Lonchura striata: one gene and its partner. The protein of the gene in region 1 interacts with the protein of each later gene in a biochemical or structural test. Links are inferred from orthologs where the notes say so. Each region holds a gene or a part of one and is shown on either strand. Other genes may lie near its edges.

What was found.
Region 2: the proteins of NHLRC1 (region 1) and EPM2A form a complex in vitro, tested with the Homo sapiens proteins (3 studies listed by BioGRID, with this or other methods). The link is inferred for Lonchura striata from reciprocal best matches to the Homo sapiens genes NHLRC1 and EPM2A.

What each region holds. Positions count from the first base shown.
Region 1 is NC_134603.1:88,840,491-88,856,279, forward strand, and holds NHLRC1 (E3 ubiquitin-protein ligase NHLRC1), read left to right. Parts: upstream 1-7,572; 5' UTR 7,573-7,627; coding exon 7,628-8,782; 3' UTR 8,783-11,760; downstream 11,761-15,789. Other genes in the region: TPMT (thiopurine S-methyltransferase), read left to right, coding at 1,634-1,708, 2,447-2,532, 3,492-3,536, 4,309-4,424. UniProt on the Homo sapiens protein: E3 ubiquitin-protein ligase. Together with the phosphatase EPM2A/laforin, appears to be involved in the clearance of toxic polyglucosan and protein aggregates via multiple pathways.
Region 2 is NC_134605.1:49,434,479-49,450,386, reverse strand, and holds the start of EPM2A (laforin), read right to left. Parts: upstream 7,177-15,908; 5' UTR 7,116-7,176; coding exon 6,854-7,115; intron 6,771-6,853; exon of another isoform or gene 6,625-6,770; intron 688-6,624; exon of another isoform or gene 1-687. UniProt on the Homo sapiens protein: Plays an important role in preventing glycogen hyperphosphorylation and the formation of insoluble aggregates, via its activity as glycogen phosphatase, and by promoting the ubiquitination of proteins involved in glycogen metabolism via its interaction with the E3 ubiquitin ligase NHLRC1/malin.

The DNA of each region.
Region 1 (15,789 bases):
TTTATCATGTCTCATCGCAGTAGAGTGGAAATACAAGTTCAGCTTGTAGGTTAGATGCCAGAGGCTTAGCAATGTCATTGCAATGAAAATAGCACTGGGCAGAGAGAAGTTCTCATGGCTTAACTCTGGCTAAGGTGGTGGAACTAAGAACCGCACAGCTGCTTGCCCACTCTCCCATCGTCTCATGACAGGGGACAATCAAAAGGGTAAAAGTAAGAAAGAAACGTGTGGAGATGAAAACAGATTAATAATTAAAAATAAATTTCAAGAGGTTGTAAGGAAAAAAATTACACAAAAAAGAACAACCAAAGAAAGAGAAAAATAAAACCCAAGAAAAACAAGTAGTGCAAATGACAGCAGTTGCCCACCACCAACCAAGCAACTGATGCCAAGCCAGCAGCCAAGCAGTGCTTCCATCCACCAACCTCCCACACAGTTTTATTGCTGAAAATGGAGCCAGATGGTCTGGAATATCCCTTTGCTCAGCTGGGGTCAGCTGTGCCTGCTGCGTTCCCACCCAGTGTCTCATTCATTCTTGTGGTCTCCAGCCTACTCACTGGTGTCAGGGTGGGAGGAGCAGAAAAGGTGCTTTGTAAGTGCTGCTCTGCAATAACTGAATTGCCAGTGTGTTACCAACATGATTTCAAGCCGAAATCCACCAACCCATGGAAGCTACTGTGAAGAAAGGTAACTCTACCCTAGCCAAAACCTGTACAGAAATGAAGACAGATGTGATTCAATTGGACTCGGACACCTGCCCAGTAGGCAGAAGGGTATTGCACAATTCCATGCCACATTTTTCTAAGTAAACTTATTCAAATTTTCTTTTAAATGACACAATTTACTTTATTACTACCTTACTGTCTAACCTCCGATTTTAATAATACCAAAACCAAGGCTCTTTCTTATTCCCAGATACTCTTTTGTGTTGCTCTGGCTGCTCTTACCATCCATTAATAAAGGCATTTCTTGATAGTCTTGCTCACTTGCAGGCTTTGGGTAGCCACTGAAGCCATCTGCCAGCATATCCAGGACCAAAACTAGTGTCTGCAGCAGAGTTGCACTGAGGCAAGCAGCAGTGTAACTTAGCTTTCTAGCATTAAATAAATTGCAAGCTGAAGCTTACTGTCCTGGGCATGTAGCTGGGAATTCAGGTGGCTAAAGTTACTGAATGTGCTGAGTCAATGACAGTAAAAAAACAAGACACCTTCCTTAGCCTGCATATGAAATCATGCATGGGTTTTAGAAGATGGTCAAGAGCTGTTGATGTACTGAAGGCATGTTAGACAGAAGGATGTGGCTACTGAACACCCAGACTTGTAGCCCAAATGTGTTAAAACTACATTCCTTCCTCCCTGCTGTGTCTCAGCAGCCCCTAACAATGGGCCAGCAGTGACCTATTCACACACCTCTTCACTACCCCACACCTCTTTGCAGCAGGACAAAGAATCAGGAGGGTTTCTTGACTTCAGTATCCTGTTGGCTTGGATTATGAAAATGCTGCACCATAACAAAAAGGTGGTGGGGAATCTGCATCACTAGCTGCAGAATCCTTGTGACCTCACAAAAGTGCCTGAAAGAAGATGAAGGTCCCTTTTTACTGTTTTTAAGCCTTTTCCTTATCTCCTTATAGTTCAATAGTTGGCAAGTTTGATGGGGTTTGGGACAGAGGAGCTCTTGTAGCCGTGAATCCATGTGACAGACAACGGTTAGTAAATTGCATTGTTACTGTCTTTTCTCTGATGTATCAGTAACAAGTTTTTGATCCTGTGACTTGTTAATGAGTCCTTTTTCATTTAAAGGACCAACCTTCACAATTCTTCTCTACCTGCTTCTTCTACCTTCCTCTTCTCTGCTGCAGTTGCAGAGTCTTGTCCTCTTCCTTCAGGAAGCCACCCTGCCTCTTGGTGGGAAAATATGTGGTTTGTTCCAACTGAGCAGAAGCAGGACTGCAAGCCTCATCTGAATTCTATTATTTCCTTTTCACCACATCTGCTTCTTCTGTCTTTGTTCTTTTCCCCCTCACTCTCCTTGATTACAAATTTTTGTTCTTGTCTATAGCCAGCCCAAATTTAGTTTGAACCTGCTCCCAGTATTTTTTAATTAGATATAGAATCTTCAATTCACAATATTTTTAAAAGATAAGTACTGTACTGTGTACTATATTCTAGACTGTGGCAGATGAATACATTGCTTGTCTGTTAATCTTGAGTCGAATTTGCAAAAAAAGATAAATAATCATGAGGAATAAATATAACCTTTATTTTATGTTTTTCATGTGTAGCATGACTTTTATGCTCCTAAAATTTAAACTAAGTTTTGCTTAGTCTCTGTGCAGTTTAGTTAAAATTCTGTCTGCATAGAAATAAATGCATTTTATTGAATATTTTGAATGCTATGCTTGAATTCTTTACAAAAATAATAAAGTCTATTTTTTTCCTTTTAGCTATGCCAGTTTGATGATCAACCTAGTGGAGAAAAATTCTTCTTATCTCCTCGTTACAGTTTCATATGATCCAAACAAACACAAAGGTGAGAACTTTGTACTGTTTATATTGTGGTTTTCCTCTAATACAAATTGTATAAAGATATAGTAGATGTATTAGTATCTTCCCCAAGATTTTTAGCTGCATAGCTTTGTTAGAGGTGACACCAGTATAACTGTGTGTTAAAAAGTTTTGATTTTGATCAAGCTTAGGACTAAATTTGTGTTTTCTCTAGCATTCAGACATGCTAAAGTTAAGTTGAGGACAGTCATGGTATGTTAACAATGAAATGAAACTGCAAATGTGGCTGCTACAATGAAGCTGGAAGTCAGAGCACTTAGTAACATCCTGTCTGGCCTCAGGAGCTTGAAACACTCCCAAGAATATCAGTTTCATGCTGTTTATCCAGTATTTGCAACCCAATGTGTTGCCCATCTCGTGTGTCTCTCTCAGCCACTACCATGCTCTGAATGTACTTGGAAAAGGTGAAAATCTGTAAAATCATAGGGTACTTTTCCTTTTATCGTTTTTGTATTATGTATGAAGTAGGAGATTTTTTTAGTTAATATTAACTCACAAAAGAAAGAGATCTTTTTCTGCTTTTGGGTACTTCAGCATAATTATCCCCCCAAAAAATAGGTCTTGCTATCACAAGCAAGAACAGTTTAATTCATTACTTTCCCTCTGACAATGTTCAGCTCTTAGCCTTAATCATGCCACTGTAGTATAAAGAGATTGTAAACTGAATTCATACAGCACAGAGAGTGATCATATCCATGTCACATTCATGATTCCCTGCTGCAGATGGAGATGAAGCAGCAGCAACACCTGAAGCTGTCTGGCCCACCAAGGTGCCATGAGTTTCTGGTCATGTTTTCTGGCTCCTGCTGATGGAGCTACACCCTGGGGCCCCATTACAGGCCAGGTGCTGTGAGTGAAGGGGTTGGCTCTCCTACTGCAGTGTAAATTTTGTCTTCTTCCCACATCTCCTCTCTTTCCTTTCAGGGCCACCGTTTTATGTTCCTGAATCTGAAATTAAAAGTTTGTTTGGTGAGTAAAATTTCACCTAACCCTTAGGAACTTTTTTCAAAACGCATAAAGATGTTTATGTGCCTTTACCTTGCCCTGTGATGAATGATAAAGTCATTTGCTTCTTATCTAAAGGCTAGAGTCATGCAAAAATACTGGGAAAAATAAATATGATTTAGCCACAGAGATTTTGCTGTCATGGAAAATTCTCAGTTCTTCAAAAGATAAGAAGAACACCCAAGAGTCAAAGAGTTTCTTGTCTCCCTTTGGCACCTTTTTATTCTCCCAGGATTCATAATACACTCAGTAATCCTGTAGCTGCAATCTTAGAGTCCTGTTTGATCATTCTCACTTTGCCTGAACCTCATCAACCAGTTGCCCTGGTTTTAATACAAGTCCTACCACTACTACAGTTTCTACTGTACTTTTGTGACAAAGAAGAAAAGTAACGGTACTCAAAGAAAATGCTAGAAATGTACAACTCAAATCCATCAAAATAATGAAATTTGGAGCTATGTCAGGAATTTAATTTTAGGAGTTCCTCCTGATGTGCTGTAATATCTCGCTTTTAAATTTACAACTTTCTGAGACTCTGGCAGTGTTTGTGCAGTGAGTCATTGGCATAGACAGTTGCATCCCAGTGCAAAAGAGATCAATTAAGTTTTCCTCATTTATGTCACTGTGTTAGGCACTGTGGAGAAATCTGTGGATAAGTTTTGGGGTTTTATCTGGACAATTTGCATTTTTCATTGACTAATCATTCACTAATTTGTTATTCTTGCCTCCTTTTCAGGCAACTGCTGTGAAATTAAGTGTCTTGAAAAAGTTGATGACTTCTCAGAGAAGCACAGACAATGGGGACTAGATTATTTTCTGGAGGTGCTATATCTATTAAAGTTTGTAGCTTGATTAAAATTTATTAAAATAACTTGCCTCCCACCTTGCTTTTTCTTGTATCTCACATTTTAAAATCGGGCATTCTTAAAGCAGGAGTTTTGTGCATTTTGCTTACCAATTCAGCTCTCCTACACATCTACCTTTACTACCTTGAGATGTGAACAGCTTTTCTTAAACTCCATGCACAAACAGCCACTACCAAAGCATACCTTTTTCTTCCAAATCATGGGAGCTGTGAGAAAGAAATGTTCCTGTTCATTTTCAGCCATTGCTGGTCAATGTTGTCTGCCTGGCACTCTGCAACTCAGCCTCATCAGCCGGCAGCCCTGGGAGTGTGGCAGCTGCAGTTCAAACACTGTTTTATGGGACACTGCACCAGGCTGGGCAGAGAGAAGTGGGAAGCTGCTGCAAGTTGCTTCTCTCTATCCCTGTGAATATATGTCAAGTGAAGGGCTGGCAGTGAGTGGGAAAGGCAAGGTAGCAGCTTCCAATTACCATCCAGCAAGAAAAGCTGGAGGGACATAGACTGGATGACAGGGAGAGGGGAGAGTATTGGTGGAAAATGTCCTGGCAGTTGCTCACAAGTGTCCTGCTCCCTCATTAGAAAGTGCAGCTATGGGCAAGCAAACTAACACGACTTGGGTAAGAGGGTTCAAGGAGTGCTGAGAGAGCTGCAAATGTTATTGCTAAACCATTCTCCATCATAGCTGAAAGGTTACAGAGTGCGGGAGGGGTGCCTGAGGACTGGAGGAACACCAATGTCACTCCAGTCTTGAAAAAGTGCAAGAAAGAGGAGCTAGGAAACTGTAGGCCAGTCAATCTCACCTTCATCCTTGGAACAACCCATCCTGGATGTCATCTCTAAGCAAGTGGAGGAAAAGAAGGTTATCAGGTATAGTCAACATGGATTCAACTGGGGAAACAGTCCAGGTTAGTGGCCAGTGAGGTAGATTGAGAACTGTCTGAGTGGCAGAGCTCAGTGTTGTAATCAGGCTAGTTGGAGGGCTTTAGCAAGCAGTGTTCCCAGGGGTCAGTACTGGGTCCAGTTTTGTTCACCTTATTAATCAGTGACGTGAATGAAGGGACAGAGGGTACCTGCAGTAAGTTTGATCATGATATAAAATTAGGGGGAGTGGGTGACACAGCACAGTGCTCTGCAGCCATGCTGCAAGACCTGGCCAGGCACAGGAGCCAGGCAGAGAGGAACCTAATGAAGTTGAGAGAAGGCAAGTGCAGGGTCCTGCATCTGGGGAAGAAAAACCCAGGGCACCAGCACAGGCTGGGGGCTGACCTGGTGGAAAGCAGCTCTGTGGAGAGGGACCTGGGAGTCCTGATGGTCAACAAGTTAGCCAGCAGTGTGCCCTTGTGGCCAAAAAGGCCAGTGACATCCTGGGGTGCATTAGGAAGAGTGTTGTCAACAGGTCGAGGGTGGTGATCCTGCCTTTCTACTCAGCCCTGGTGAGGCCACATCTGGGGTGCTGTGTCGAGTTCAGGGCTCCTCAGTACAAGAGAAATCTCAACATGGAGTAGGTCCAGCAGAGGACTATAAAGATGGCTGGGGGACTGGAGCATATTGCTTATGAGGAAAGGCTGAGAGAGGCATTGTTAATCCTGGAGAGGAGGCAACTGAGAAGTGACCATCAGTCCTTTATCTTTAAGGGCAGTTGACAAAAGGATGGGACAAGACTTTTCAGTAGTGCCCAGAGATGGAGAAAGGAGCAAAAGGCACAAACTGAAACACAGGAAGTTCCATCTCAATACAAGAAGTATTTGAAGTTGACAGAGCACAGTGACTTCTCCCCTTCGCAGCTTATTTTGAAAGGAAAGGTATGATTGCAATGCAGTGTATCATTCATCAAGAATAGAAGGCAAGTACAAGCCATGGGGCTTTTTAGAGTGCCATAGTCCTAGAGCTGCAAATGGGTCTGCTGGTCTTAGCACAGCAGTCCCCATGCCCACAGCTCATTGGAACACTCAATATTGCTCGTAGATACTTGTGTTTTGAGGCTAGGTTGATGGAGACAAGAAAGGTGTAGCCAATGGGCCAGTGCAAGCTGGGAGCTGCTGGTTTTGTTTGTTTTCACTCCTGGCCAGTACTGCAGCTACCAGGTTAAAGCATCTCCTTCCTTTCAAGTTTTTTTCGGATGCAACATGAGAGCTCCTGAAGTTTATCTCAGACTTTGAGATATGTGATAGCTGCAAAGGGCCAGGCGCTTGGCACGAGGCTGCCACATGCTCTGTGGTGTCCTGCACAGGACTCCCAGGCATGCAACAGCCTGGCAAGAGCAACGCCATATGCCAAAATAGCCATTTTAGGATGTGTAAAATCTGTGTGTACCCTGCAACTACTCTGAAAATACCCTGTAAATACACCTAGCAGAAGGAGCACATGTTGTCCATGCACCTTACAGAAATGTATGTATGTACCTGAGAAATGTGTCTACTAGTGATGAATGTAAATATTTTCAAAATTTTGCCAGAACAGCAGGAAAATCCAATGAAACCAAGATGCTCAGCGAAATGGAGTACATCTCCTACGCAGACAGACTAAGAGAGTTGGGATTGTTCAGCCTGGAGAAGGCTCTGTGGAGACCTTAGAGCAGCCTTCCGTTACCTGAAGGGCCTGCAGGAGAACTGGAGACTTTTCACAAGGGCATGTAGTGACAGGACAAGGGGAAATCTGACAGAGGATAGGTTTAGGTGATATATTAACAATAAATTCCTTAGCGCAAGGGTGATGAGACTGGAACAGATTGCCCACAGAAGGTGCAGAACTCTTCATCCCTGGAAGAGCTCACGGCCAGGCTGGATGGGGCTTTGAGCAACCTGGTCTATTCTGGTCATCCCTGCCCATGGGAGGGGCATTGGAACTAGATAATCATCAAGGTCCATGATTCTGTGAAATTGTGGCTTAATTCCTTACCCTGGCAGGGACATTAGGAGAAGTAGGGGTACGGTAACTTGATGACGGGACGTCTGTAAGAATCTGGTGGCTGTGTGAATATTCTGGTGGGTTTTGGATGCACTGGCGGATGCACGCGCGGCGCGCACACGGCCGCTCCGCGCTCCCGGCGGGAAGGGCGGCCCGGGCCCTGCTCCGCCCCCGCTGGCCCGCAGGGGGCGCGCGGCCGCCTCAGCGCGCTCCGCGCCCGCCCCGCTGGGCCCGGGGCCGCCGGGGCCGCCGCGGGGGCTCCGGTGGCTCTCCTGCGGCGGGGATGGCGGCGGAGGACGAGGCGGAGCTGAGCCTGCTGGAGTGCCGGGTGTGCTTCGAGCCGTACGGCCCCGACGGACAGCGGCGGCCGCTCAACCTGCCCTGCGGGCACGTCCTCTGCCGGGGCTGCGTGGGGGCCCTGGCCGGCGCCGAGCGCCAGCGGCTGGAGTGTCCCTTCTGCCGGCGGCTCTGGGGCCCCGCCGAGACCAGCGACTGCCTCCCGCTGCTGCAGCTGCTGGAGCTGCTGCGCCCCGCCGGCCGCGGCCTCGCCTCGGCCCTGGGCGGCGGCGGCGGAGGGGCGGCGGCCCCCGCGGGGCTCGGGCTGCGGCTGTGCCTGGGGGGCTGGGGGTCGCTGGTGAACCCCACCGGCGTGGCGGCCTGCCCCGGGCCGGGCGGCCTGGCAGTGGCACACGACGGCAAGAAGAGGATCCACGTCTTCGGGCCGAGCGGGTTCTGCCTGCGGCGGTTCGGGGAGCGGGGGGGCGCGAGCAACGACATCAAGTATCCGCTGGATGTGACGGTCACGTCGGACGGGCACGTGGTGGTCACCGACGGCGGGGACTGCTCCGTGAAGGCTTTCGATTCTGAGGGAAGGGGAGTCCTGGCTGTCCGGGAAGGCTTCCGTCTGCCCTGGGGCTTGGATGCCTCCCCCAGGAGCGAAGTAATCCTGACCGACTCGGAAGCAGGCGCGCTGTACCGCCTGGCGGCCGACTTCCAAAGGGGGGAATTAAAGAAGTGCCAGATGATCCGGTCCCAGCTTGTCAGCCCCAGAGCGGTCGCAGTCTGCCCCACCTCGGGTGCTGTCGTGGTGATAGAGCACCTGAGACCTCGGGGACCGAGCAAGGGCAGCACCCGAGTGACCATACTCAGTGCGGAGATGGATCTCATCGGCCAGGTGGACAGCTTCGGTCTGAACCTCGTTTTCCCCTCCAGAATATATGCCACGGCTGTGGCCTTTGACAGAGAAGGTCGTGTTATAGTAACGGATGTTTGTAGCCAGGCTGTCATATGCTTGGGAAAACCTGAGGAATTTCCCATCTTTAATCCTCTAATTAGCCACGGGCTTGCTTATCCCGTTGGACTGACTTACACGGCAGACGATTCCCTCGTCGTTTTAGACAGCGGTGATCATTCAGTGAAAGTATATAGCTCTACCTGAGTGGGCTTAGATGCGTACTGCTGCAGGCTCAAGCTGCTTCTGTTCATACAGCATGCGGAGTTCTGGAGTTTGTAGGAGTGGAGGGAGGAGGAGGTGTTGGGGCTTTGAGTGAAATCACCCTCTGACCAACACGCTGTGCTTCCTGCAAAACTTGTGTCACATCTCTTGCCTACCTGTGGGAGAGGACTTGGCTGTTGCTGCCTGTAGTCAACAACAAATGAACCAAACAAATCACTTAGCATTTTAAAACTATTCTATGCCTTGACAACCAAGTTGTTTTGGTTCCTTTTGACACATAATCAAAGATCAGCACGTGTGAAAGTAATGCGTCATTTATTTACATTTCCCAGCACATAATTATCACTATTCTTAATTAAGTATAGATACACTCCTGACAGAACTGTTTCCAGGAATTGTGCACAAGGAAGGAGATCACCTTGACAGAATGATAGGACAATTGGAAGTCTCCATTCAAGATTGCCTAAATCCAACTAAAATCTTTGTGATGGAGGAACTACCATGGGAAGTTAAATCATGTTCAAAGTCTACTGTTTCCAGGAAGATGCATTTCTGGGGGCACTCTTTTCTCTGCCAGATTATTCTCACCTTTATTAAGGTTGTACTGGAGCACTTTTTTTTTCCTAAAAAATGCCCAAGTCTGTAATGTTATCTGGAGACAATCTGGTGTGTGGTTACACAGCGTGGGCTGCTTTGCCTAAAAGCCTCTTGAAGCCAGGATTAGACCACAAATACTCCTGCATATGTAAGTTTGAGTTGGCTCTGCTGCTAACACGGCTACATGTAGGAGGTTTTCAGCACTGCCTGCCCCTGTTTTGTCATTAATATGGTGCTTTTGCGCTCCCCAACCCCAGGATTCAATTGCAAATTGAAATGTTAGTGAGAGGTAGGCCTCGTTTTTTTTCATAGCTTCCAAATTCGATTTTGTTGATTGTGAACACACAAGAGATTTATATCAGTTTATATTTTCTTGTGTTAATCACAGTAATATTATACTCTTACTTGTATTCTCACAGTTTTACTGTAGACACAAGTCCTTCTGCCTTTTCCATAGTGGAAATTATGGCATCTATGACTTATTTTGAGGAGGATTTAATACACCCACTAGAAGTCACTGCTGCATTTTTAGGAATTTGCGTGCTGCTAAAATGATTACTTACATGGTTCAGCATTAAAATTAAGTTAGATGTAAATGCTATCTGAGGTAGAGATGAGTAGGTTAAAATGGCATAAAACTTTAGGGGTAATTTCTTTTTTTAAGTAATTGAAATCGTTAATATTAACTAATGTAATTTGAAATTCACAGACATCTATCAGTAAATTTTTTGTCTGGCTTTTGGTCTGACTTCAGGGCATTTAATAACTGCATGTGTTACAGCACCAGTGATTTACCAAATACTTGCACTAAATTGGAGCAGTTTAGCTCTCTAATTCAACCAATATGTTAATCTGTCTCATGTCAACATTTAAACAAAACAAAACATGTCAAACAAAACAAATCTGTTAATTGCAGCTATTTGTAAGGGTTAATTGAACAGTAAATAAAGTGTGATTTGCTTACTTCTATATTTTAATAATTTAGTGATAATTCCTCATATCTTTTCATCAGGTGTTTCCTTGTTACAACACCATTTCTGCATTGCAGTTGGCCTGTAGATGGTTTCTTCTTCTGTTTGGTGATATCCTATAGAAGTTGTTGTAGGGCCATTTTTTGCTATTGAAAATTATATGGATGTGCACAGTCTGTATTTTGCAGCCTTCTCTACTGCCTGGCCAGACAGCAAATGCCTTTGGAAGAACCAGAAATCCTCCTTGCTTGTTCTGCAGTACGAGCGGTATGGCCCTGAGCAGGAGCCCAATTGGGAAGTCAGGAAGGAAATTTATTCAGAGGAGGAGACCCCTGGATTATATATTCCTTTCTAGATGCCAAGGAGACGCCTGCCTTTGATAGAATCAATTAGATAACTCTTCCTTTGGGAGACTGCTGTGTGTCAAAATGCATGCAATGCCCTCAATGCTGTATTCATACATAATTAATACTTTGTCACGGTAACACTTCCTCTGAACCATAGGCTGTGAGCTTTTATCTTCTCAAACCTTTGTGTGCACCAGGAGCTTATTTTTGCTACTAAATTCATGGATGGGAAAATTTCCTAGGACCTATTGCCATGTAGGCAACTTTCCAGCAGTTGAAATACAGATTTTTAAGCATTTGACTCATACTGTTTTAAAATCTACAAAAACTCCCATTATTGCCCATTCTGTTCCTTACTCATTTGGTTAATTAGAAATCACTTAATTTTTTGATTTGTAAGCAAAATAAACTTTCGGACTTTATTCTACCTCATAGAATTTTTTTTTTACTTTGTGCCATCTCCTGCAGTCTCTGCTTTACCTACCTACTGAAAGCAAATGTAGACTACTTCTGTGAACAATGCAACTGTTTTCTTTCTAATCTACAACTTGGTGCTTACTGTTGTACCACACTGCATCAAAGGAACCATTACATTCTGTCTGAATTATTTTGATGTAGGTGCCTAAATTGAGAAGCCATAATGAACTGTATTTGTATATAAAAACAAAATATTAAAAATTTCAAGTTCTTTGGTGCTTAAGGAAAAATGCAGCAGTAAAGCTGAAATCTTTCTTTTGACACAAAATCTTGTGTTCTGAGAGAGGGATGGCAAATCATGGAAGGCCCATGCTTGAACTGATTCCTTAGGTTTGGGGTTTGACTGGCTGTGCTTGGAATGGGGATAGCTAGATGTATGCTTACCTTTGGAAAAGAGTGGTAGCCATTCCATTTAGAAAGGAACATAGGACTGTGTCTAGATGCTTCAGTGACAATTTTTAAAAATTAGTGTTGAGTTTATTTTTTTTAACTCCATCGCCTTTGCATAACTTTCTGCACCTCATGCTCTAGCCATTGGATTAAAACCAAATAAATATAATGGACAGTCTTCCTTTAGTGTCATGTCTTCAGCCCCTAGTAGAGATTTCTATGTCTGTTGTATACACACACACACACACACACACACACACACACACACACACTACAATTCCTATTTGGTTTATTTTTAAGCACTGATCTCAGGTTGCATATAAAAATATCAAGGGTATGTTTACAGTGTTAAGGAATTAAAGGAGTCAGAGGAGTTTCAGAAATGCATATTGAGATGATGTTCTGTAACACATATTTTTTATTTTGCTTGTGAAGAGAATTATTTTAGATAAAGAATATATTTTTTTCAGATTGATGAATAAGGGAAAAAGCTGAAAAAAAAGTAAAATTTATTTCAATTTGGCCATTGTCCATTTGAGCACCTGTCTATTCCCTCCAGTCACATTGCTGTACACATCAGTTTGATCTTTATGTTTTCCCAAAGCATGTATGTAACATCACTGTAGTATTTTTTAATATGGACTGATTTCAGGGAAAAAGCAATGTCCAGCCCCCAAACTACTAAGGATGTTATACAGCAGGTCCATCAAGATGATAGCCTATAATATAGGAGACCTTTCAATTCTGGAAGGGTTGATGGAGGTCAAAAAGCAGATTTCTTCCCTAGGACCATGGGTCACAGTGCTGTTGCACCTCACACACGAGGAATTTCTTTTCTTTTCCTTCTATTCAGCGTTTGGGGGTTTTTTTCCTGACTCTGCTCAGAGGCTCATCTTACAGTTTACATGTCACCTGTGAGTCACAGCTTGCCTCTACAGGAGCAAAGCAAAAATACAGATATTTTTCACTCTTCAATCGGGCATCTTAGGAGAACTGCCAGATCATTCAGGAGAACAGCAAGCACTTCTTTGATAGTGTTACATAAACATCCAGACTTTCTCTTAAAGTGCCTCCTTCGTGTAACATGCCTGACTCTCCTGGACAGCTTCAAAGCTCTCTGATACTGGAGAGGTTCTCAGGGAGCAGATGATGCATTGCACTTACACCTTTTTCTCACTATTGCTTTCCAAGAGATTTACAGATATTCCTGAACTTGGCACTCCAACCTCTCTGTGAGGCAAATACAGTACAAATGTCTTGGCCCTGCAGCTGCAGACAAGAGAGCTCAGAATCAAGGGAAGCCTTTGGCAGACTTCAGGCTAGATCTTAGAGTTCCCATTAGAAGGTTACCTTAATAAAGCAGGGAGAGTCTGTGTTTAATCACTGTCTTGTCTGGGAGGTGCCTTCCTGATTTTTGAAGAAGTTTTGACACTATACTGATGATCTTGTTACTAATTCCTTTGGTGTTTCCTACAAATCATGGGAATTAATACTTTTCCAAACCGCAATGTATTCCTAGATAATTGCTTCCAGTATGCTCCACAAAAGTGTGTGGTTTTGAAATGCTCAAATTTCACATTAAGGATAGAAAGGAGGGGATCAACTCTGAAAAGGAGAAAAAATTAATGGAAGGTGTCTGTGGCTTAAGCAGAGGGTGAACTCCACCAAGTCAGAGAACAGAGCACACCCATCATTCCAGTAAAGGGAATGCATTCTTAAGAGGTGAAGCATTTCAGCCTGGAAAATGGACAAGATGATAAGAGCTGTTGCCTTTTGATTAGTATTTACCTCTGGCAGAGGAATGACCTGCATATGAACAGATTTTCCAGCTACAATTAGACACTTTTCAGATGGCAATCCTTAGGAGAGCTATCAGTTACTTGTAGCTTTAATTGTCTATTAGTTTGTAGCAAAAATCTGTGGGGGAGATAAAGATTTTGAGCAAACAAGGCATTTTAGGGAAGTATGCTCCCTGTAGTTGAATTAATAAAAAAAAAAAAAAGAATACGTATCATTTTTCTAACAATCCCTCTTTATGTATGCAATTTTTATTCTTTGCTCACAGGTGAGCACTATATGGGCAGAGAGTTGAAGTGAGAGAACAAATCCTGCTTTCATGGAATATTTTGTTTTTTAAATCAGGAAACTATTGCTTGCCACAAGATTCTGTAAAACATTTTAAATGCTTTAAATATCATTATATGCCTTGTAATGAATAAAGTGTAGGCAGTTTTAAGCAAGACATAGGATTAGAGATCCAAAATTATAACTGAGAAAAAGAAAGAATTAACTTTGAGAAAACTCTGAAGACACTAAGAAAACCAACCAACCAAAAAAAAAAGATAAATGTTTTTTATCAAAGCTTGCTTTTAAAACTTCTAGTACCAAAAAAAAAAAAAAAATATCTTGAAAGAACTATACACCTACACAATCACTGGAGGTAACTCTTACTGGGAATTTTTCTAAATATAAATAGATGAAAGGTAAAACTCAGCTAGCACAAGTTCCAGAATAATAGGTACTATGGAATTTAACCAGTATTTAGTAACTACTGATCTGTACTAAAAGTAAGAAACAAAGGACAATTGTGCCTTTTATTAATACAGAGTAAGGAACTACCATGAGAATAAATATAATGTCATTGAAATATGCTTTGTAAGAAATTTAGCAAAAATAGTCAGACAGATTAAGTATTAAAAATATATAATCACTTTAATATGAAAAGGATGTGCCTGGCTCCCTTATCTGTCATTTTCCTTAATTAGGTAGGAAATAGGGCTCTTCAGTGAGTTCTCCGCCAACTTCCCCTCAACTTACAGCATGATATTATGGAGCCAGAAGTATTTAAAGTACGTGTATTAGTCTTTTTCTAGTCTTAATATTACTTGAGCTGACTTGTTTGAATTGAGGCTTGCTCTGTCATGAGCAGTTTATCTGTGCAGTCATGAGTACTGCAAATGGAATTGTCCACATAAATAAATGCTGCAGGACTGGGCTTGAAATCAGGGAGTTTCAGATTAGTTCAGAGGTTTGCCCTGGAGAAGTCTTTGCAGCAGACTTTACGATGACAATTTCTGGGAATGCTGCTTTGGGGTTTTATGTGCTGAAAATCTTGTGCATATTTAGAATATATTATAAGTAGTTATGACATTCAGCATCAGAAATTCTTTGTAAAAGAAATTTATTGTAACAGTTTAGCTTTTCTTATTTATTCTTTCATAATATACTGAACCCTTGCTTGGTTTTTAAGGCCTTTAGACTGAGTGGAGCAATACCACACTTCCCTTTTGGCATGTGCACTTGCTCAGTAACCAACAAGCTGGGGCAAGACCCACTTTGGACCAGCTTCAGTGTAGACCTTATTCCTGAACATGTCTTGCAGATCCTACAGAAGAGGTTTTTAATCTTAGCCAACAGGTTAGAAAAGGTATGGTGTTTACACTGTAGTAGAGATCACACTGTAGGTTCTAGTCTTAAGACTGTGAAAACATTTCTAAGGCTGCAGAGTAGGTAGCCACTTTTAGTTTTATTTTGCAAGAAGGATTGCTGCCTTTCAAAGACCAAGTGAAAAGTGCATTTCTTCCCTAGTATGGCAAACTGAAATTGAAGTTACCCCAGGCCCAGCATTAGAACTTTTAGTAATTTATTTTGTGATGTTCATAGAGCTGTTCAGTACTTGGATGACATTATCATTAAAATGCAGCTGATACTATATTTCACATATTTCCACTGTGTCAGTGTTACTGAGATTAAAAAAAAAAAACAAACCCAAACCACTTAGAAAAGTGTACCTTGGAGGCAGAAGTAAATCTTTCTTGTATCTCTGTCACTGGAGAAATAAAAGCCATGCAACTGAATTATTATCAGACATCTATATCAAGCCATGGACTTTCACCCTTTAGTTTGACTTGACTTAAACCTCAAATCAAGGCTAAATTTTTGATTTCTGAATTCCAATCACATTCTTCCTATTTGTGACTTCTGCACAACACTTACTCATTATTCCCAGCTTGTTTAGTCTGTTCCCAAACTGTATTTCTCATTAGCTGCTGTTCTGTCAAACTGTGGTGTACATGTGTGTCCTCACTACTTTGATTTCAGAAGAAAGGTTAATTCCCCCAGAGGTTCTGTCCATGTTTTGATTTTGCTGTGTTTCTTTTCTAAAACAGCCTTTCATCTTTGCTGTCAGATTAAAGGGAGGAAACCT
Region 2 (15,908 bases), on another chromosome or scaffold:
GATATGCAACTTCCAAACCTCCAAACCCCAGTAAGGTGAGGCTGTTTCTCAGTTCACTTCTACCTCTTTAAAAACCACAGGGCTACTTAGATAACCTGAAACACATTAACTAACCCACCCAAACCACAAGCAGCCAGGCATTTTGGAGATCACCTACTCACAAATCAGTCAGAGGAAAGACTAACTCTTATAATCTTTGTCATAATTTTCCGTGAACCAGCACACTTTAAATGTCAATTCAAAATTTTAACTATGTCTAAATATTTTAAGTAATTCCATTTTTATCAAATGAGGTCATTTAACCTTTTAAGGTAAATGAGTATCTTAAGTTCATGCTTAGAAGTTCCCCTCTAAGAGTTTAATATTATAAGCACTCTGGGGGCAGATAAACAGGGAAGCATCAAGGAATAAAAGATTTTTTATAAAAAAAAAATAGTGGTAGAACAGAAAGTAAAGAAAACATATGAAAAGAATCTCAAAAATAATGCATTTAAAAGAGTAAGTTTTTAGTAGCTTCCTTACCTTTTATACCAAAATAACAATGAAGAAATGTCTCAAGTGATATTTTGGATACAATTTTCAGTTATCTGAATGTGTTGCTGCACTGTCTGGTTATCACACATCACTCTAACTGAACTTCCTTCAGCACACTCACAATATTCAAATTTACTTACCCTTCACACCAGATTCTGTCACAAAAGTCTCCCTGCTGCCTGTGAACAAAATTCAATCTCTGATGTTTTGAAATAGGATCTGTCTCAATCTTGCCAAGACTGAATTGCTTTCGATTGTTACAAAAACAGAGGTGGAGGGGGCTGAATTCCTCTCTTTGGAATTGAGCGAGATCAAGTTTTTGAGAGTTTGAGTCTGACACAGGCTCTGGCGTCCCACCTTCCTCAAGCCTCAGCAAAGCCCTCAGTAGCAGCCCTTTGTTTTAACAGCTCTGACAAATAGCTCCAATTCTATATGCCACATATGAAGCCTAACCCGTATGCCAAAGAAAAGCATACTTTGATTTTTAATGCTTTTTTCTTCTGTCAGCAAACCATCTTCCCCTTAGATTCTGTAAGTGGTGGCAGATGAATTTATTTTATTACTTAAATACATAGTATTAGTAAGTCCTTCTAACTGGTCTGATTTTCAAAAATGTTCCTTTGCATTTGCAAGCCAAGAAGAGATACCCAAAAAGAAGAAAATCATGTGCATCATACACCACATGTTTATATTCTTTCAGACTTAAAGCAGACTTCCTTTTTGATAGAGCTGCTACACAGAACCATGGAAACAAGTTCTAATTCTATTAAAATCCAGGCAGAATTTAAGTCTTTTTATTTATATAACCCAAGAAAATTCTTTGATGGAATTACATTTTGAAATTATGCCTGAATGAAAACTAAATGGTTTACAAGAAAGTCATTCTTAATACTTAATGCTGTTCATCACCAAGGCTTTTTTTTCTTTTTATTTTTTTAATCAGATATAAGAAAATCAGAATTTTCAAAGTCAACTTTCAAAAATATGTTTTATTTCTCTCTGTAGGTCTGCTCAGGCCCAGGTGTTTTTCAGTAGGAACTTCTATTGTACCAAGAGATTTTAACCAAATGCCTGGTTTAATGATGAAGTCAGAGAAAAGCATCTAAAAGTAAATTTTCCTCATGTATAAGACAATTTCTTTTCTGGCAGATGGTAGAAATAACACTACAGGAAATACAAATGAGAGAATAATGGTTAATAACAACAAAATGTATAATCTAATACCATCATCTTGTTTGTTCTGACACTGTTTACTGTACTGTCTACTACTAATTGTTACTTTCTACCATACCAGAATAGGCAGGAAATGAGCTACATCAAAATAGCAACCATGGCAATACTTCGACCAAAGTATCATCCCAATTACTTATCACTTCTCAGTGTTTCTTTCCATTCAAAATAAGTTGTTGAGCCCACCTTCCATTTGGAAGTGAGGGACAGGAAAAATGGTAAATATAGGATTTGCATAAAAATAGCATTTATTGTAAATTTGCCATTATAACCACAAAGGCTTTAATTAGACTCGCACAGAAATCAGAACTGGCCCCTGATTATCTTTGTGGGTAGGAAAAGATCCACACCTGCCAAATGCAGAAGAATGCAAGTATATGCATTTATTTTTATTCTTGTAATTTTCCAGTTTCACGTGGCCATTCTACATTTTTTTTACTGATGTCTGGTTGCCTGCTCAGTATAAACTGGCTAATGCTGATAAGCAGATAGAAAGTAATGAGAATCTTGATGCCATTTTATTGCACCAAAATGCATGCTATGTATAAGCCTTGTGGGGGTTGAAGAACAAAACACAGTGAGCTACTGTGAGCTACATTGTAACCAAAGCTTTTTTTCCATTCCTTAAAGAAGTATTGGGTTGAAGAATTCAAAGTTATCCACTCGTTAAGTTTTGTCACATCTGAAAGATGTTAAGGTATCTAGTGCTGTCCAGAAAGCAAGAGCCTTGCAGGAACAAAATGCTTTATGATGCACAATTATTCAACTATCACATAACTTGTATTTTATGTTCATTTCTAGTCACCACCTACTTCAGAACTGGGATTTGGGAAAATAAGTAAAATTCTGGATTATTTTCAAGAGCCTAATAGATTACACAAAATACTAATGAAACATGCAAGTAGCTGCAAGATGCTAGGCAGGCGCTGGCTATACACAGGGAATATGGCACCACCCAGTGGGAAGAGCACTACATGAAACATCTGCATTAAAAGAGCCATAAAGAAACGTAACTCTTCAAGGTTTGCTGTCTTTTTAATTTTATTTTTTTAATTCAGGTTTGTTTGTTTTTAATAATGGAACTGCTACCTATTTTCGGGATCTGTAGATTAGCTTTGGAGGAAAAAAAGAAAGGGAAAATTAATGGATCTCAGTTACAGAAATTAACATGGTATCCAACTGTACTTCTTAGAATGGCTTCAAAAATTTTATTTTGCAGCTTAGCCCCAAATATTTTTCATTCCATTAGAATCTCTCCATTGCAAATGGCAACTAGATCTTACCTTCTCATAAAGCCTCAGAAGAATCCCCTCCTTTTAATGAAGATATTACAGCTTTTTTATCCAGAGCTGAAGCCAAAAGTCTGATTGCTTCAAGCTTCAAACACTTTAAAAGTCAAATTTTAATATGCTTAACCATCACTGATGTTTTCAACTAATCAGGTGCTCAATCCTATGATCAGAATTTATTTCTGATATTTTCACTGGTTGTACTACAGTGATGTGAAAACCTTTATTACTCCAAAACTCTACCAGTCTTTTGGTTTATACAAATAGGCTCACAGAAGTGTGAACTGGAAATGTTGGAAGGCCAACATACTACAGGCTGAGTAACATAATTGTATTTAAATTGTACTGTATTGTATCATTTGTCTTGCAAACAAGACATCTTTTCTCTCCTCCTCCCTCCCCAAAACTAGAGATGGAGGTTTTCTGTAAGAATTAAGGCTCTGCTCACCTGAACAAATTACTAGAATATAGGCTGACTGTGCTTTGGAACTTTCACTGGTAATACTGGATCTGGCAAGCTCCAACTCCACCATCTAAATTAAGAGCTACACAAAAATCACAGAATAACAAAATGGTTTGGGTTGGAAGTAGCCTTAAAGATCACCCAGTTCCCCAGGCAGAGACACGTTTCAGTAGACCAGGTTGCTCTGGGCCCCATACAAGCTGGCCTTCAACACTTCAAGGAAGGGGCATCCACAATTTCTCTGGGCAACAAAGGGGCAATATTTAACAGTACAAGCTTGTGTATGTACTACAGGCTTATGTAGGTTTTCTATATAATTTATTTTTTCCCTTCCCAAAAATACAAAGTGTCAGCAGACTGTATTCCATCCTCTCAAAATACAGTTTGGGGCATACCTCTAACAAATTCCCTGTCCTTTTATGCAGCATGTTTCTTTATTAGTTCCTACAGTTTATTTAGATGAAAGTATGGGGATAAAGGCACAGATGAGTCTTCCATCATAAACTCACAAAAACAAACTCAAGCATAAGTTTCATCTTGTATTTATTTAGTTTTGACAGCAGACACAAAATACTTTTAGTTTCCAAGCTGAGAGATGTTAAGTCCAGTTTTGAAGAATCAACACAAAAAACAAAGTACACAGACACAGGTGCACTTGGGGGAGAAAAAGGTACATACATGAATTTAGCTTTTTTTCTAATTCCCAGATTCTAAAGCTCAGCATAACCAACCTGTTTCGACAGCATATACAAAGAGACAGCATATCACAAACCCTCCTGGATAGCAGGCTTCAGCTTTCACAGTAGGTAAGCAAGTACCAATCCTGAAGAAACCCCACACAGCTCATGTGACCTGAGCCAGAAACACTCAATGGCTTTAAGTGACAGGTCCTGTGTGCAGACCAGCAACATCTCCCTGGGACAGCAGAAGCAAGTATCTTCAGGAGCACAGGGGAGTCTCACCTCCCACTTTGTCCTCCTAGGGAGGGGAACTTGTTCCCTCAAGGCACATGCAACAACCCAGTGAATCTTGCACAGGCCAAGCCTTGCCTGAAAGCTTCCTACCAAAAGCCATAGAACACTGGCCTGTGACTTTGACTCTTCTAGCCCACATAAATAACTACCTCCACTTTTATCTTTCAGTCTTCCCCACTGTATTGGAATGGCTGAAATTTGTACTCAAAACAGATGATACATAGGTATCGTACTATCACAAAAACAATATGCACTGCCAGTGGAATTCTCACACACGTATGTGTCTTAGTAAAAAAGATGAAGTAATTTTCTTAAATACAGCACATGATTTCAACATCCAATATATGTAAACATCTGACACCCCTAATCAGACTGACATCCATGGACTACAGTTTCTCTGGTTACAGATGGATGCCTCAACTCATAAACTTAGAGCAAGTATCATTCTGCACTTTCCTCTATCCCTCACAAACATGTCTTCAAAACTGCAGATGTTCTGCAAGAGCTAAGTGTTTCCCAAAGCCCATTTTAATTCTAAACACACAGGATACTAAAGAGACAATGCACAGCATTTGTTCAGCACAAAAAAACACCTGTTCTTTTTTTAAGAAGAGAGTTGTCTTTTCAAGCTCTGGGTTTTACAAGAATAAACAGATGACAGACAAATTTTCATTGATCACAGTTAAAAAACCCCAAAAACCAAAAAACACTAAAACAGATTAAAAAGAATGGCAAGATTGCTCAGTTATTGGATAAGAAAATTTCCCTAGGCTTCCTTCATGCAATAAAGCAAGAAAAATAAATTTCAAGGTTTAAGCAAATTTGTACTTTCATGTAAATATCAATTGAGGAAAAAACTGTTGATATTAATGACTAATTAAAAAATTATTCTGCATTTAGACGATGTGCCCACTTGCTTTCTATCGTTCCTGGTAACCACTGAGCTCAAACTCCTGAGCATTCACAATGACAAGAACAAAATGCCAGCCAGGTTAATCCTAAAACTGCAAATCTGCCAAATCAAAGTATGTTTATTACTCTGACTACATTTCCTAAACGTGCTCCCTGAATAGACAACAATTTGAGCTACCACTACTTCCAAACCAGAACATAACCATCAACCTTCAAATTGATGATTCTCTCTAATTATTCACTATTATTTCTATGAAATTCTAATTATTTCTATTTCTACTATTATTTCTAAAATCTGTGTGGTGAGGACTGCTTTATATACCAGTATCACTGTCATATTATGTACAACTTGGCACCTTCAAAGGGACCCAATTCTGCTTCCTTGGACAGATGTAAAGATTTTTATTCCATAAATTCACTTTTCCTGCAATTCTGGAAAAGAAAACATGGTTAAAACAGGCAGAATATACTATTTGTTTTAGCTGCTAAACAAAACAATTACTATTGTATGAGGGACATAGTCCTTTATGATGTAAACTTCTGTGAATGTAGCATTTACATGAAGTCTTTTATTAGCATGAAGAACAAACAAATGCAACAGTTATGACAACATGCATGTTTTAGTCTACATGACAGAAAGGCAGTTCAGAAATGTGGTATGTATTCTTAAAATGGGTGAAGAGCAACTGCTCTACAATGTGTTATTTTGGTACATGGATTATTATGCTATGAGTTAAAAAAATACCCTCACAAATTACCAAGTGATCTATCTTCCTTTCACTAGGTCAGACCATTCCTCAGTTACAGGAGGTATATTTAGAGTTTTATTTGACTCAGGAAACGACTGTCTCAGTGTTCCCTTGGATTTAAGATACTTCAGTATACTAAACAGCATATGGAAACTGACCAGTTATTCAATATTTGAAAACACACAGAAAGAGGAAAACACGGTGGAAGTACTACTGAAACAGCAAGAAGACTGGAAAAGCTGTAACTAAACTTCTCCCTGTGCTTTTCTTTAAGAAATCAAAATAGCAAAATTTACCAGCCTGAAAATGCCATAATGACACATCACCTTAGCGAAATGAAATAACTACACCATAGTGAATACTAGGAGATCCTAAATTCTTCACTTCTGAGGAAGAAACAAAACTTCATGACAATGGATGCCTAAAGCAAGGGGGTGGGGGGAATGAAACTGTTTCAAGTAACTTTTACCAACCTATAAAGACAGCCTCCTGTATTTACCCGCCTCCATCACACAGCCAAAAAACACTTGTGTTTGCGAGCACCCACGTCACGAGAGCCGCGACAGCCTGGGCGGCTCTACGTGCACCGGCGGCTCCGGGGACAGGGAGCGGCGGGAGCGGGCGGACGGCGCCGCAGCGGTGCTCAGAGCCGCACCGCCCCTCCCGGCGGGGCCGGGCACGGCCAGGGGGTCCCTCCGTTACCTTCCCAGAGGAAGTGGCCGCCCTCCCGCCGCAGGAACTTGTACCAGAAGGGGCTGGCGGCGTCCTCGTCCGGCAGCGCCACCTCGGCCAGCCACAGCGCGGGCTCCTGGGCGGGCAGCGGGGCGCTCGGCCGCGCCCGCCTCATGGGCACGGCGCGCCGCGGGTCCCACTCGCCCAGCTCCGGCCGCGACCCGGCCACCAGCAGCTCCGCGCCGCCCTCCGTCACCCGGCCGGGCAGCACCACGCCGAAGCGGAACAGCATCGTACACAAAGAACGGCGCTTAACCGGGAGCTCTGCTATTGCACAGCCGCCGCTGGCAGGCCGCCCGGGCCCGCCCTTCCGCCGGGGCTGGGGGTCGGACACCGGCCCGGAGACCGCCCCTGGCCCGGACGCTGCCCCGGCCACCGGCCCTGCCCTTGCGGAGCCCGAGAGGTGCCTCCTTCGGCCGGGGCTGCTCCCGCTTGTTTCGGGCGCTCGGCTGCCGCACGCACGCTGCCGGGGATCTTCCCCTCCGAAGGGGAGTTGAGCAACACCGAGCCTCAATCGCCTCCTAAAGTGGGGATGGAAAATCCCCTCCGCAGCTAAACACTGGCTCTCCTGGTTGCCAAAGGCTACGCGTCACGTATGGTGACTGTAACAAGGATTATTGCTGCGTTAAAGGAAGCCATTGCAATTACTGCCAAGAACTCAGGCTTAATTTAGCGCAGCAAAGACATCATTGAAAATTGCCGTACTTGCAGCTACGAACAAGGACTGGCTGCAAATAACGCTGTAGTGTTCATGATGTTTATGTCTTTCCCGCTGACAGCCAGCCAGTCATGGTGAGAAAATAAATGTGAAGTGCTGAGGGAGGTTAGAAAGCTTTTAAAGAAATCTGGAGTTCGCTGCACGAGTTCTGTTTACGGCCAGAAGGGGAAAATTTGGCAACTCCTACGCGTAGCAATACTAAGGACTTAAAAAGACTGAGGAAGAGGATGCAATCCAGCCATTTAATGGGCGGTCCCTGCTTGAATACACCCATTTCAGAAGCTTTTAAGGACAGAAAAAGAGAAATGGTAACTTTATTTAGGTCAGGTTCTGGGAACAGGATGAAGGCCTTTCAATGAGTCAAAAGAAATCCTGCCTCAAGAGATGGCTGTTTGTTTCCTTTATGCAGGGGTGATGACACTGAAGTGTATGTGCTGCCAAATTTATTTTTAAGAGTGCTTTAGCCAATTTTCACTGATACTCATTGAACTTGTGTAAGTGATATTCTACCACTTTTCCAGACATAACCAAAACAAATGAAATTCTCACTGTCCTCCATTTCTGCTGGCTTTACTGTAGCACTGCTGCTTTTGTGGAACAGTGCAGCACATTTTAATTTTTTTTTCTCAACCTTACAGTTGAGCTACCCATACCCTGTCTCATAATTTCAAATATCTAACTCTTTACCATACACCCCCATTTTAGCAGCACGAGACAGAATGTAAGAATTCTGGGGTTTTATCCTAAAGATCAAGCATGACAGGAGTCCTAAAACCACCTCAGCATATTGTGTCTACACAAAACCATATGCTTCTGTTCATTCCAGTCACAGCTTAAAAACTGCAGGATTCAATAGGGCATCTGATTGACAGTTTAGTTCCTGGCTGTTGTCTAAGCCCCAGTGTAAAGAGAGACCAGCAACATCCATCTTTGGACAAGACTGAACTGCTTTGTGCCTGTAAATATTGAGTCCTCATCTTAGACCTGTAAGCCTTGTGGAACAATAAAAAATTGTTCTGTAGACTCTGATGTGCCAAGTAGTATCTTTAAAATTAATTTAGTCAATTTCTTCTCCGGGATCTGCCTTAATCCATTTTGTGCCACTCAATATTGTGTGTTAAAGATGACAGAAAGTGGCCAGCTTGATTTCCTGACGTTTCCTCAAAAGCCCTAGTGCAGATAAGGGTTAGGTTGAGAGATCAACAGGAAGGGCTGAAAAACTGGATCTACTGATGGATCCTGCAAGACTGAGATAAAAACTAGAAATGTAGATTGGTTTGGGACATCCCATGGCTGGGTATAGTGGGAACAGAAGAGCAGTTTATATTGGTGAAATTGCAGGCTGAATGGGGGCTGTAGACAGGATAAAATTTATTAGCATTAGATCTGAGACTGAGGAGCTAAAGGTACTGTGAAGTTTGTTTTTGCAAATGTATGTTTTTTCCCCTGTTAGATTTGCATGGTCTATGATTTGTCATCTTCTAAACTGGAATTTCAGCTGGAGTAAAGGCAGAGGAGGTAGGGAGGAGTTCCACTTACTGTTAGTATTTGGGATTGAAGGAGTTGATGAAGTACTTCCACAGTTGAGCCACTGCCATAACCCTAAATTTAGTTTCAAGTGTCACCCTAAGCCTCTTAAGGAATTAACAATAGTTTCCTTTGCCAAAATGACCTGTTATTCTAGTACTGCCTGGCCAGTGCTCTTCCCCTAGTTCTTAACACTATTCTGAAACCTAAAAGCTTTCATGATAATCCAGTCATCTTTTACAACCACAAATTAAACATGACTATTTCCTTTTTTTTTTTTTTTTCCACTATAGTAAGTCTTCCTTCCAACTTGGCAAGCCTTACAATTCCCATCAAAAAGCTTTGGCACAAAGGGGCAAAACCCCAATAGTTAAGCTGTTTTTAATTGTCACAAAAACTACTGTCACTCATTGATTCCTGTGGGAACAAGCTACCATCTTAGGGGTCTGTTTGCATTGCAATCATAAATGCTGTGCATTTGTGCCTCTCACAGCTGTTTAGGATCTCTCAATATACTTACAGCAGCCACTTGCTGAATGGAAGCCCCGACTGACCTCAAATCAAACAGTGAGCTAGCAACACAGTGAGGCTTAATGCCAAGTTTATTTAAAAGCCTTCAGTTTATTGTTTCTGCTACCATCCGAGGCATTTGCTAAAGTTGTTTCTAACTGGCAAAAAGGGAAGAATTATATGAAAAAAAAAGGACAGCCTATTTTTACACAGCATTAGTGTGCAAGAAGGGACTTGAGAGATCAGTTTCTGCAAGAATGACTTGCTTTGTGGAGTTCACCTAAATTGTACCAATACATAGTAGCCTTGTGTAATTTCTAGCTAATTAGCTGGCTTATTATCCAAAATTTGTGCAGGTAGTGGGGATCACACAGGAGGACTCACCGAGGCTGTGTACCAACTTAACATCAACCAACCATCAGTTATGCCTTCAGGTTTCTGCCTAACGGCTGTATCTGAAAGGATTCTACGGAGAAGGCTGAATGTCCAGAAATGTGACTTCATTTGCAGACATGTAAAACACATTTAAAGGCATTTTCACTTGCTGTGCACTAAACATTTGCAGAATCACAGTTCTAACATTCTGCAGAAGTCAAATTTCTTATGGTGTCTCTTTCAGAAATAAAATTGTCATGATATTTTTGTGAACCCAAGAGTTTTAAACCATTTGTTACATCCCAAAAAAATTGTGCAAAGTATTGCTGGCCGAAATTTTAGTGAAGACAGTAGTTGAGAAGTTTGACAGCATACTCCAGTTCAAAATTCAGCTTTCCAAGTGGAAAGTCATATTTTTCTTCACAGTTTTCTTATCTGCAAAGTGTCTACTAGGTATAGAGACAGCACACAGTTATCTGATCAATGTGAATACTACTAAAATGACAGCTGAAGTTAATAGTTCCATGCTGGGGTAGCCTGTGTCTGCAGTATAAGTGTTCTTCTTTTAGCAATTCCAAACTTTTGCCCCATAGCCCAGTTGCAGCTTGGAACAGCTTTATCTGTTATTGCTGTACAGTGATCTAAGATGGTATTTCCAAGTAGGGAAATCTGTAGTGAAGAGAGAGAGCTTGAATAACAGAAACAAAACACAAATACAGAAATATTTGGTTGGAGAAGGGAGGGAGTATTCCTGATTGCAAGTTGTGGGTGATGTTTAGATTAGCAGTGCTCCTTCCTAGACTTGCCTTTCTTCCCTTTTTAGGTCATTTTCTTTCTTGTAAAGATACAGAGAAAGTGTTATTGCAATTCCCAAATGTTTCTGCTAATTATAGAAAAGAGAAAAGCAGCACATGGCACACAGTCTTGCTTGTAAAAAGGCAAACATTTATATTATGTGATAAGCTGATTTAGATGTATTAATGATTTGGGTAAAATATTCATTGCTGAAAAATTTAGACAGCCTGTATTTCTTCAAAGAGATTGTGCTAAATATAAAAGAAACCTTATTCTAGTGCAAATAATTTAAGACCACTGGTTTAAGTAAAAGTTAAGTATTCTAAACTACTCAATCGACAGACCCAGACCTTCTAATTGAATTCTAACTGTCCTTCTCTTATCAATTCTGATAGAACTATGAACTAATGCTCTCACCAATATTTCTAATTTGACAATACAGCAGCTAATAAATACCTTTATAGACTGAAGACTGAAAGAAGACTAAGATTAAAGAACTTGTTAACAGATAAGCACTGCTATCCATAATTTTTAGTTTAGAGCTGTGTCAGAGCACTGATAACTGCATGATCCATTTTAGCTGCTTATTGCTAGGAGCAAACTTTTATGCAGACTTAACTACAGAAGTTCTGTCAGGAATGACCATTTCAGGAATTGTGTTGGAAAAATTTTCTGCAACAATAGATAGGACACTAAAGGAGATGGTTTCCACTTTTGCATGGGGGTTTGTGTAGCATATTTTTTAAACAGGTTGTTGTTTTTAGAAGTAACTTGGCAGTATAAATATGCAATAACATTACAGTAAACACTACAGAAATACATACAGGAATAACTGATCTGGTAGGTTTCTTTTTTCAACATCCAGTTAAGCTGTCTGCATCCTCCCCAGCCTCATATGCCTTGGGAGCTGGAAAAAGTTCCAACATATTTCAGCATGAGGCCCTTTTAGGATGTCCTAGCAGCCTCACCAATGTCCAGAAATGAACAAATATTGCAGACTAGTCCAGCACATGGCTCCTTTCCTGCCCAGAATGAGCCATAGTTTTTGGAGGGATGCTCCACATCATCTGTGGTACATTTGCACTGGGATGCTGTGACCCAAACCAGCCCAGAGTTCTGGTAGCCCTAGCAGGAACATGGCCCTTCTGCCCGGCACAAAGGGATGAGAGAGGCCAAGTGCTTACTCAGAGATCCAAGTACCTGGAGCTTCTTGAGTGAAAAACAGTATGTAGCAGTAATCATTACAATATTAACTCATTGTAAACTTCATTTTTTAAACCAGCCTATTTCCACCAATGTTATATCAGGTTTCTAATTAAAATGTCTACTTAAGGGAAAAAAGAAATGTTTCAGCTGTTTGGAAACAAGACAGTGTAAAAACAAATACTTGATTGTACGGAATAGCAAAACTTTATTTCATTAGTTAGGAGAATGCAATCTGACCCAAAACTTATGTGCTATTAAGTTTTAAGTAGAACAATGTGCCTGCCTTTTTTCTGGGGAGACTTAAATAATCCTTCCACTTTCAAAAGCCAGTGCTCATTGATCCTAATAATACACCCTCTGTACCTGTGCCAGGCTTGAGTGTTCTTGGGATCCCCAGCAAATTACTGATTGATAGAAAGTTCCTGTATATTATACTCCTGTGGCCATTTTAAGAAAAATTTAATTGTTTATTTTTCATTATGCAGACCTTTTAATTGCAATTGTTTTATGTATGACCAGCAACATTTCAGGAAGTCACACACAGCATTAGATGTGGAGTAAAAGGTGAGAAAAGCAACCATGGGAAAGGAAGTTTGACAAGAGAACTTCCTTCTCAATTTGTGCTTAAGCAATAGGCTTCTAGCTCCAAAATTGATTGGAATTTAATAAACAGCCAAAAAATTGGAAGTCTTGCTGACAAATCTGACTAGATTTTAGGTAATTTACTAATTACTTAAGTTATGACTAGATTTTAGGTAATTTACTAATTACTTAAATTACTATTAAGTAACTTAAGTTACTGTGCATTTACTGCATAATGATTAAAGAGCTTTGGAACAAAAGCTGTTTGGAACAGTAAAGGTTTCCCTTTACTTGTTTTTTAAAAAATTAAGCAAACTGAAGGATATTATCCTTAAAGCCATGGACCAGTATCACAAAAGGAAACAGAAATTATAGAAATGATTGTTCATTTAAGTATACAAGTCTCAGTGGTTATTATATGCTTCACATAGTACAACAAATCAAACTTACTGATGACTGACCCTACCAATCAATTTATTTTTCCAGTTATATTAAAAAAGTAAAAACATCTTAAAGCCTTTTTCTTAGACAGAAACTGGATCAAAATACAAATCCAGAAGTTATATTTAGATCAATACATGATATTTAAGGCCTAGGAAAAGTGGCAGCAGAAATTAAAAGAAAAAAAATTTAAAAAGAAGAGAAAGCATCCTGATCCATACCCAACAGCTCCACAACATATAAAAAAGAAGCAGTTATATCACCAGTAAATCTAATAAAACAGAGATTTAATGCTCAAGTGTATATAACAGCATATAGAATACCTTACTCTCTTTTTTTTAATATATGAATCTGTTGCTGTATCACTGCATCAATACAATGCATTGCTGCTTATCTTTCTGGTTTCACGTGTTGACCAAATTTTTCACTGCACATCTCTTTATTTAAAAGAATTTTTATTTTGGCTGTTTTGGCAAGCTTCCCTAAATTCACTTACCTGGCACACAAATAATCTTTGCTAAGAAACAAACACTATGTTCACCCAGATATAAAGAAACTCTTGGAAATAGGAATTGCAGTCTAGAATGAGAGTGTAAACAGTCTGCAACTTAGCAACCTTCCACCGGCCATGGCAACAGCTTGCAGCCAAGAACCAGGAGATGTGTATAGCATACTTTGCAGACTAGATCATAGACAGGGGACTCCTGTTACTTAATTTGGTATGTGTATGTTGCTGTGTACCATAGTAACCTGTTTCCACTTGAGCTCAAGCTCTCACACAGATGCCTCCTCATTAGCATGGCCTCAAGGTAATGGCACAGAAAGGTATTTCTGTGGCATCACCTCAAGGTAATGCCACAGAAACCACACTTGAGCTGTACTTGGCCCCTAAGTCAGCAGATGATCACTTGGTTTTTCTTCACCTGTTTGAAAGAATAATGGATATGGAAGATCAGTCCAAAACCAGATCCATCATCTTAATCAACAGTATTACAACAGCCTTGGAAGTACAGCGCACACTTCAAATATTCTATGTGTAGAATTACACTTGAATTACACATACATTGTCTTGAACAGCTATAAGAACACTTGAATTTTCAAATTACATTATCCTTCTTGGTGCTTACTTTTTATTCTTACTGTATTCAACTATAATTCAAGCTGTTCAAAACTTCTTATACCTAAGCCCTCTAAAGTGGTTTTAAATTTACTGAAAAATAGCACTGAGATCTAATTTTTAGAGATTCCTTATTGGTTTACTTTTATACATTAACTAATCTGCACTTTTCCATAAGCATAAGTTCTCAAGCTAAGATCATTAAGGCTTAGTGCTATATAAAATATTGTTGCCAAATGCCTTTTCTATTCTGAGATAAATCTAAATAGAAAAGATAACAGATTCATATATTAATACCAGGCAAAATTAATTTGGGCAAAAATGCATAATTCTCAAGTATTACACTCATTACCTCAAATTCCAGGTAAGTGGAATTATTTTCTTAAATTATCAGAATTAGTTTTTGCTTGATAGCAAATTTCATGTCTGTGAAACTTGTAGAATAAATCTTGATCTGATCTCTCACTTTTTAGGCTCCTGACCATAAAACAATGAAATGGGAGTCTTTAAAAATACATTTATATAGGGATTGTTGGAACTAGTTCCATGCAAACTTCAGCCAACCAACAGTTCTTTGTAGCATGTAGTAGCATATCATGTTCCAAGTTCTCAAGAACATAATCTTATTCAAAGAAGAGGTTTATTACACTGCACATATTTATGAGTAATTTAAATATATTACCAAATACAGCTATCCCACTGGCTAAAATATTTGTAAGGAGGAAAAGGCAAAGCTAATAGAGCTGTTAGCTGGCATGATGGCCAGTCTGGATTGACAGGGGCAGCAGCACAGTGAAGCACTTGATGTGCCACTATTAGATTTCCTTTGGAAGCATCCACATTTTAAGTGATTTAAACTGAAAGCAACAATTAAGCTCTGCATTTTCACTTATGTAAGTATGAATATGCAAATAAAATACCTTTATGATCAATGATATTGTTAGCATTCACTACCCTGAACTGCATTAAATGACACATCAAACAAACTATCCTTCAGCATTTTGCAAAGACTGTGGTGCAATAATTCAATCTGTTGCTTTCATAATCAGAAATTCTCAAAGTATCACTTCTGGTGTGGTGAATTTGACCAGTATTATTGCACAGTTCCTCCTCACCAGAATACAAGTGTATTATGTGAGGTACTGACTGTGGGTTCCAAGTATAACAGAGCATTTGTCTTACCTTTGCTTTCTGAACTACTTTGCTTTCAGCTGTACACACACTGCTTTCAAAGTACATAAATTCTATCAATATAAAACAAGCTAAACTAATTGACAGTGCTTTCTTCAACACTATTTCTAAAGAGTGATTATGAACACAAAAGACACATTTAATATTTGCATGCTGATCTCCATGCTCCTTTAGTCACTGCAGATACTTGTTTGTCTCTATCAGCCATCCTCCTGTGGGTTGGAAGTTAACAGTCTGGCAAGTTACTAGCATCAATGAAAAAAAAAAAAAAAAAAAATCAAGCCTGTTGCCATGTGTGACCAGTGGAACAATCCTTGCTACAGCATGCTCAAAGCCAAGTACTGCAGGAGAGGTGGCAAACACAGACCTATCCACATCTGTACTAAACAACCATCTGCAGCACAGCAACATCAATATTTGATTCCAGAAGGATCCTATGCCAAACCAGCATGAGACTTAGACGTTTTTAGATCTAACACTGCAAGAGCTGAGCCCATCGTTAATTGCCTCCAAAAGGAACTGCACCAAGGTAGCATATTGTTTTGCAGCAACTCAGTTATATC